Nothobranchius furzeri: one gene and its partner. The protein of the gene in region 1 interacts with the protein of each later gene in a pairwise test. Links are inferred from orthologs where the notes say so. Each region holds a gene or a part of one and is shown on either strand. Other genes may lie near its edges. The genes, in order: naif1 and sox14.

Evidence for each region.
Region 2: the proteins of naif1 (region 1) and sox14 interact in binary tests that used the Homo sapiens proteins (3 or more experiments, as listed by UniProt). The two-hybrid records come from large-scale screens. The link is inferred for Nothobranchius furzeri from reciprocal best matches to the Homo sapiens genes NAIF1 and SOX14.

What each region holds. Positions count from the first base shown.
Region 1 is NC_091746.1:70,818,800-70,822,216, reverse strand, and holds the end of naif1 (nuclear apoptosis-inducing factor 1), read left to right. Parts: intron 1-151; coding exon 152-202; intron 203-1,683; coding exon 1,684-2,225; 3' UTR 2,226-2,230; intron 2,231-2,776; 3' UTR 2,777-2,875; downstream 2,876-3,417. UniProt on the Homo sapiens protein: Induces apoptosis.
Region 2 is NC_091756.1:59,713,581-59,718,149, reverse strand, and holds sox14 (transcription factor Sox-14), read left to right. Parts: upstream 1-1,664; 5' UTR 1,665-2,299; coding exon 2,300-3,016; 3' UTR 3,017-3,916; downstream 3,917-4,569. UniProt on the Homo sapiens protein: Acts as a negative regulator of transcription.

The DNA of each region.
Region 1 (3,417 bases):
TAGGATCCTCTCATCCGAACCCGGAAGTAGACCTCCAGAATGTGATGATTGTTTATCTGTGTTGGTTCAGGTCCAGATCTGAGCTCTGGTCTGGTTCTGGTGCTTTTATCTGTCCAGGTGTTTTGTTCTGAATCATGTTTTTGTTCTAAAGCTCTTCCAGACGCTGCAGGAACCGTCTGCAACGACAACAAACCACTGACAGGTCAGTGTACCACCAGAACCTTGTTTGGTCTTTAGTTTACTGAGGAAGACACAAAGTTCTGGAGCAGCCGAGTAGAGGTAGACTGGTTTTTTGTTACCGATGCGTTAGACGTTGTTTACCTACTTTGATGCTAACGTGACATTAGCAGCAGCTGAACTCTGAAGTGTGATTTTAACGCCGGGCACAAAATTAAAATGTAACTAAAGTTGATTAAATTAATCACTTAACTGATCAAGTATCCAATATTCAACACTGGCTAATAAAAAATACATTTTTTGTTGAAAGTAAGTATTTATTATACAGATGTTATTCAGAAACATTCATATACATTAAATTTCTATTAAGTATTTATAGTTCCAAGTCAGGACCAGCGTCGTCTCTAGGACCTTCACACAGTAAACACTCCAACACAGGTCAGGTCATTAAGCCAGTCAATAACAAGTTTCCTATATAAGGAACCCAGCAGGTTGCATCGAGTCACTGACTAGTGTCCAAGTCTTTACAGCAATCATACTTAGCAAGCATGCAGCGACAGTGGAGAGGAAAAGTCCCTTTTAACAGGAAGAAACCTCCAGAGGATCCTGGCTCAGTATAAGCAGCACACACACAGTTTACATTGTGATTTCTTAGTAAATATTCTATTTGGTGAGAGATAAACTTTATTGTATTTATTCTAGTGAATCTATAATTAAACGGGTAAACTAGTAGTAGCACATTCTATGTCAAAGAGAGTAAAAAGTTATCAGGAGAGGGAGAATGTTTAAGTGGTTAGCAGCAGTGTGCTAGCCGATGGCCCCCTCCATGAGGCCACCACAGCTCAGCAGAACATCATTGTAGCTTCTTCTGGGGAGAAAAACACTTAGAGAAAAAATAAAGTTAACAGCTGAAATAGCAGGAAATAATACAGTTAAAGAGCAGATTGTAGAAGAAAGTAGTCGAGTGTGGAAAGTGGTCAGTGTGTCCTCCAGCAGTCTAAGCCTATAGCAGCATAACTACAGAGATAACTCTGGATAACCTAGCCTTTTAGATGGAGGCATGTTGGAGGCAGGGCAAGGGAGAGCCGTCTTTACCGACTGTACACTCCACCTCCCTCTACTCCCCCACTTGCCCAGATCTGGGCTAACATCAGATTTTAACCATAGGCCCTCAAATAAAAATGTTTTGAGCCTATTCTTAAAAGTAGACAAGGTGTCTGCCTCACGGACTGAAGCTGGGAGCTGGTTCTACAGGAGAGGAGCCTAACAGCTAAAAGATCTGCCTCCCATCCTATTTAAAAATTACTTCGTACAGCAGCCCAAGCATGTGCCTAATTTTTAAACAGGTAAAGTGACGGTAAGGAGGTAAATCGTCCCGATATATCGGTCTACCCCTGTGGTAGAGTTGAAAAAACTTTCACATACAATTATTTAAGAAAAATGAACGGTGAAATAAATCTAGTCAATAGAAACCTGTCTTCTCTGTCTGACCTGCCCTGTCTACAGCTGAAACCACCTTCCACACCCTGGAGGACGGAGGTGTGGTGGAGTACTGCACAACCAGCATGGGTGACCCCACCCCCACCGTGGTGACTGCTGTTGAAACTCCGATGGAAATGCTGGCCTCGTCCTCGTCCTCCCCGCCTCTGGTGCCGTCTCAGGTCAAACCCCAGGAGCTGAAGAGCCGGATCGCCCTGAACTCTGCCCGCCTGCTGCAGGAGCAGAGAGTCACCAACGTGCACGTGCGACAGATCGCCCAGCACCTGGAGGGTCAGAACGAGCTGCTGCAGATGATGCGGCGCTGTCAGGAGGTACAGGCGCTGGCCCAGGAACGCCAGGCCCAGGCTCTAGAGGGGACCCAGGCCGCTTTGCTCGCTTTGGTTCAGATGCTCAGACCGGCTCTGAAGGACCTGAGAAAGTTTCTGCAGAGTGGGTCAGAGGTGACAAACCCCAATGGTCCAGGATCAGGAGCAGTTGCTGATGGAGCTAGTACCGAGGAGCAGATACGACCCAAAACACCTTCACAGCAAACGGAGGAGACCCAGTGAGCCAGGTCTGTACACAAGACACTACAGGACCTGAACTCGAAGTCTTGAAGTTCTTATTCATGATGGTTCTGACAGACTGTTCAATACATTGTCATCATGACCGGAACATTAAGGTTCGCCCAGGAGAGACCGGGTCCAGAATCCATCAGGTCTCTGAATCAAGTCTGGGTCTAATCTGGTCTCAGGCTCTGATAGGGTCTCAGGGTCAGGTTTGAGTCTGATCGAGTCTCAGGTTCAGGTCTGGGTTCTGATCAGGTGTACGGGTCTGATCAGGTCTCTTGGTCAGGTCCAGGTCTGATCGGGATTCTTGGTCACATCGGGTCTCTTGGTCAGGTCTCTGTGTCTGATCGGGTCTCTGGATTCTGATCAGGTGTACAGTTCTGATCGGGTCTTTTGGTCAGGTCTGGGTCTGATCGGGTCTCTCGGTCAGGTCCGGGTCTGCTGTTCCACCAGCGGGGGTGCTGTGTGACCAGCTGATTTGAGAATCCTCTGATGGTCACCTGATACAGCAGACCGATAATGCGATCTTTTCTTTTCTCCTTCCTGTTTAGAGGCTGTTTTCTACTCGTTTGATTAAGCTTCAGCTTCACATCAACGATAAACCTGCTGTCGTTAAACTGCTTTTTAATAAAAGGAATTCATGAATCTGATGTTCTGGACTAAATGAATCATTCAGACTTCCTGAGGTTATAAAGATAAGATGCTGCAACCCCAGCAGTCCTGTCTCTAGTGTATTTACTATCCTGTGTTGACATTGTGTTTATGTATTTCAGAGACCTTTTAACACCTTCTCTTCCACTTCTTCATGCAGTTTCCACCTCTAAACCGCGATTTCTAGAACTTCCTACCACTAATAAAAAGTTAGCCATCTTCTCTGGTGTACAAACGAGGTGGGACTCGATTATAAAATAATCTAATTAGAGGCTTTGTAATTAATCTTGATTAATCACCCATTGACCCTTGAACACGATTTACCCTCAAGCAGTTCTTTTAATTAAAACTAGTGTTAGTGAGGCCCAGGTGATGGACGTCTGACTGAATGATGACATCCTTTAGAGAGTATATCTGTGTAAGATTACTTTGGTCTCATTACAAAGGTAACTACTGTGGGATTTGTTGGGATGTGTGGATATTATAGGCGTTACTGCTGACGTGTAAATGCACATGGAACATTTAGACTGTTGTGTTCAGA
Region 2 (4,569 bases), on another chromosome or scaffold:
CACGTGGTGCTGCTGAAGGCGAGGAGGTATTTTCGTTAGTTATTATTTTTATTTACAACTAGCAAAAACGTATAGCGTGCATTGAAAAGGGATGTCCTCAGCTGATTGTTCTGTAACTTGGGATGATTTTTATTTAACAATAAGGACGTTTTCGAGGTTTTGTAAAAACAGATATGATGGAAATCTTGTTAGTGGCCTCCGACTGGCGCATGCGCATGTGAGCTAATGGGAGAGAGAGAGAGAGAGAGAGAGAGAGAGAGAGAGAGAGAGAGAGAGAGAGAGAGAGAGAGAGATGTGGAGGTCGTGAGAAACGTGAAGCGGATGCCACAGGTAACAGCGCTAGCCCCGCCCCCAACAGGTCCACAAAACTCAGAATTCAGTTTCAATCAGAACTAATGATGTTGTGTTAAAATGTCACTCTAATGAGGTTCACATGTCAGAAATATGAAAAGTAACGTTGGCACCCAAAAGAAAATGAACTAGTTTTTTTAAACAATAATTTTAAACTAAATTAACATTTATTTTTCTATTCAGCCAAACTAATATGCTTGATTTTTAGTATTCAAATCCTATAAAAGTGACGAAACCCGTCAACCCGGCATGGTGTTTGGGGGCAAACAAATTACAAAAGTTTGTTAAGAATCATCAAAAACAAATAACAAATATGTCAGAATTACGCAAACTCACTGTTTGCATTTATCTTATAAAAGAGACATATTTCATGTTGAAATGGCATCAAAGGGTTTGATAAAAAAACGAACTGTAAAGAAAAGTGTGTAAACATAAGAAATAATGAAAATGTCTGACAAATATTTTATATTTGTCCGATGTCTCAGATGAATCATCAACATTCTTTAAACGTGAAATGGACTGTGTGGAGACGTGCACGCCAGAGTAAACATGAACTAAAGATGACACAAACCAACTCCATCCACACTGTGTGTGTGCGTGTGTGTGGGGGGGGGGGGGGGGGGGAGGAGGAGGGGGGGAGGGGGGGTCCTAATCGGTCTGCCTTTAGTTTAATAATCACAGGTGACTGAATCATACATCACGCGTCTTAGCCTGCGGGCTGTTACTGGTCCCAGTAAGGGGGATCCTCCGCACCATCAGATGGATGGGACCCATGGTTTGGTGTTCCCCATCGAGATACGTGCACAGCACGTGCGGGCCTGAAGAGACAGCGCGCTGTGCGTATGTGCGCACTCTCGGGCTTTTCTATTCAAGCCTCCATTGTTATTTACTTTTTATGGCTAGAACTCTGAGATTTGTCAAAGATGTGCCAAAAAAAACACCAAACAAAACAAAACGATGTTTGATGTGTGACATTTTCTTTAAATTACATGTTTTATTTTGTTTATTGATGTTTTTTAAAGGTTTTCTGGTTTTCTTTATCATCACATCTATTATTAATATTATTTTAGTAAACGCACAACAAAAATAAAAAGTGTAAAAGGTATATTTTATTGTAATTATTTTTAACGGGCTTCATCTCGTAAAAGTTTTAATAACGAGTTGTTAAGTAAATCCTTAAGCCAGGCTGAAGTCTGGTTTGGAGGTTAACTCCGTGTTCAGTCAGGTAAATGACATTAAAAGGGATCAAGAGGGATTCTGTTACACTCTCACACACACCCACACACTCCTGTTCTCGTTTTCTTTTCCTTTCTTTTCTTTTTTGTGCGGTCTTTGTTTATGTTGTAATGTACATAGCCTGTAGTTTCCCCCGGAGGGGCTCTAATAGCCGGTCTCCGTGCTGATTGGGCGCGCAGGTTGGCGAGTGAACGCCCTGCAGATTATGTCAGATTGCGTGCAGAAACCAAACCAGCCCAGCCTTTGAACTTCACCGCTTTTGGCTCGTATTCACTCTCTTACCGCTCATTTCCAAACCAGGTGCTTGAGAACAAACCTCACAGAGAGAGAAAGTCACCTAAAGAGTCACAATAAAAATTATACGTATTTCAAAAGCTGGACACTTTCTGGCTCCTGCCATCTGAACGCGGAACGCTGCTTTCACCTTTGTGGATTTTTCTTCACGTGTTTTTCGTTTCATCCACGCCGCCGGTCTGATTCAGAGTTGGAAGCGGACCTCAGCGAGCGCATCTGTCTTTTTTCCTCGGGAAGAACCGAGCCGGGTGCTGGATTTTTCTCCGTTTTTTGCTGTTTTTCAGACGCATCCAGACGTGGCATGACCGCTCTCTGTCATTTAGACAGGTGAACGACTTCCCTTCCTTCCTTCCTTCCTTCTCATCGCAACTTTTGCTTGTCACTGACATTGGGAGGGGGATAAAAGTGCAGATTAAACATGTCGAAGCCTGCTGATCACATCAAGAGACCCATGAACGCCTTCATGGTCTGGTCCCGGGGCCAGAGGAGGAAAATGGCTCAGGAGAATCCCAAAATGCACAACTCGGAGATCAGCAAACGGCTGGGCGCCGAGTGGAAGCTGCTGTCCGAGTCTGAGAAGAGACCCTACATCGACGAGGCCAAGAGGCTGCGGGCGCAGCACATGAAGGAGCACCCCGACTACAAGTACCGACCCAGGCGCAAACCCAAAAACCTGCTGAAGAAGGACCGCTACGTTTTCCCTCTGCCTTACCTCGGGGACACCGACCACCTGAAGGGACTGCCGGTCTCGGCCGCGGACTCTCTGCTGGGCTCATCGGAGAAAGCCCGGGCGTTCCTGCCGCCGACGTCCGCCCCGTACTCGTTCCTCGACCCGAGCCAGTTCAGCTCCAGCGCCATCCAGAAGATGACGGAGATGCCCCACACGTTGAGCACCAGCACTTTGCCGTACGCGTCCTCGCTGGGATACCAGAACGGTGCGTTCGGGACGCTTGGGTGCCCCAGCCAGCACACCCACACCCACCCGTCCCCCACGAACCCGGGCTACGTGGTCCCGTGTAACTGCACAGCCTGGTCGGCGTCCAGTTTACAGCCCCCGGTGGCCTACATACTTTTTCCAGGTATGACCAAGACTGGGATAGACCCTTATTCATCCGCACACGCTGCTGCCATGTAATCCCGAAGACTCGTTACTGTTTTTAATCCACTTGAAAACCGAAATGCATGTAAATATGATACCGGACGGCGCGCCTCGTTAACGGCATGAACAGTGTTAATCTGCCTCGGACTTAATCTGGCAGAAAAATCAACTAAGAGAGAGAAAGAGAAACTTTTCAGAAAAAAAAACTCAAGTTTTGGAGCTGGAGTTTGGTCTAGAAGACGAGGAGCAGAGAACTTTAAGAAATGTAAATGTTATAATGGCAACCAGAAAGGGAGGCCTTAAACTTTATTTATTATGTACATTTCAATGCTGATATGCTGATTTGTGTTGATTATTGGCTGCTGTTTTGTTTTGGAAAAAAAAAAGAAAGAAATTTGGCTGGCACATCCCTGTATAAGCCTGCTAACTAGTCCCCATTTTATCATGACCTGGGTCAAAATCCGGACTGATAGGCTGCTTTATATACGGGTTTTATTGTTTATATTTATCACAAATAAAAACAAAATGAAGCGGAAAACACACGTTTTATTTCAGTTCTCTGAGGGAAAAACGTCTAATTGGACTGTATTTTATGTGGTTCCGTCCCACGCACCGTTTCTTCATTTCTCAAAGCTTTTTTTATTTTATTTTATTTTTATTATTTTGTTCTTTTTAAGGATATGTTCTCTGTGTTTTCTCAGATTTAAACCTGTCATGTTCTGGAAAGGGTCATGTATCTAGAAGGTTGACACCTCCCGCTCTTTGTTCAAGTGCTGAGCAAAGACATTTTGAATAAAGACAATCTGTCTTGAACCAGATCAACTTCCTGTATGTGTTGAGTTCAGGTGTTTGAAGGTAAACCAACACTAAATTCTAATAGCATAATGATGATGGAAAGGCTGAATATTAATATTAAACCCAACCCTTGGGCCTGGCGGTGAAAGTCTCCTCTCAGATCATTTTAATCACCTCCTTCTTTCCATCTTTTATTTATTTTTTTTTTTTTTACTTAGTCCCTGTGATAATGAGTGGTGTTATTACCGAACCAGGGTTTCGGGCGTGTTGGGCGCTGCAGCGTGCTGAAGGTGTTTTCGTGACACCGGGATGAACCGGTTTTTGATGTTTGACAGCTGTGAGGCCTCCCTGGAGGGATTCCGCCCGTCCGACTCGTCTGACTGCTTAATCACTTCTGGAAACTGCTTAATTATAGGTTGAACTAATGGAACAAACTCAATATGATGGGATTTTTTTTTCTCCAGCGCAACAACTTTTCGTCTGACGGGCGCTTTTAAGAGACAAATCCGTGCGCGCCTCCGTTTCCAGACAAAACGTTTGATGTTTTACACCTGCCTAAACAGGACGAGGAGGAATCGAACCGGCATCTCTGCGTTGATCCAACACGTTCATTTTCCGTTTTCCCCCCTTCTTTTGTTAAAAGGAGAATGATTTGCGTCGACCCGTGCGTCTTTACGCACGCATTCACTGTGTGGTATTAATTAAAAATAATACATTCCGCATTCAAATTGTTTACTTATCTGCCGAGAACATATTGGGGGGAGAAGTCCCCTTTCTGCGCTGATTCCCAGGGT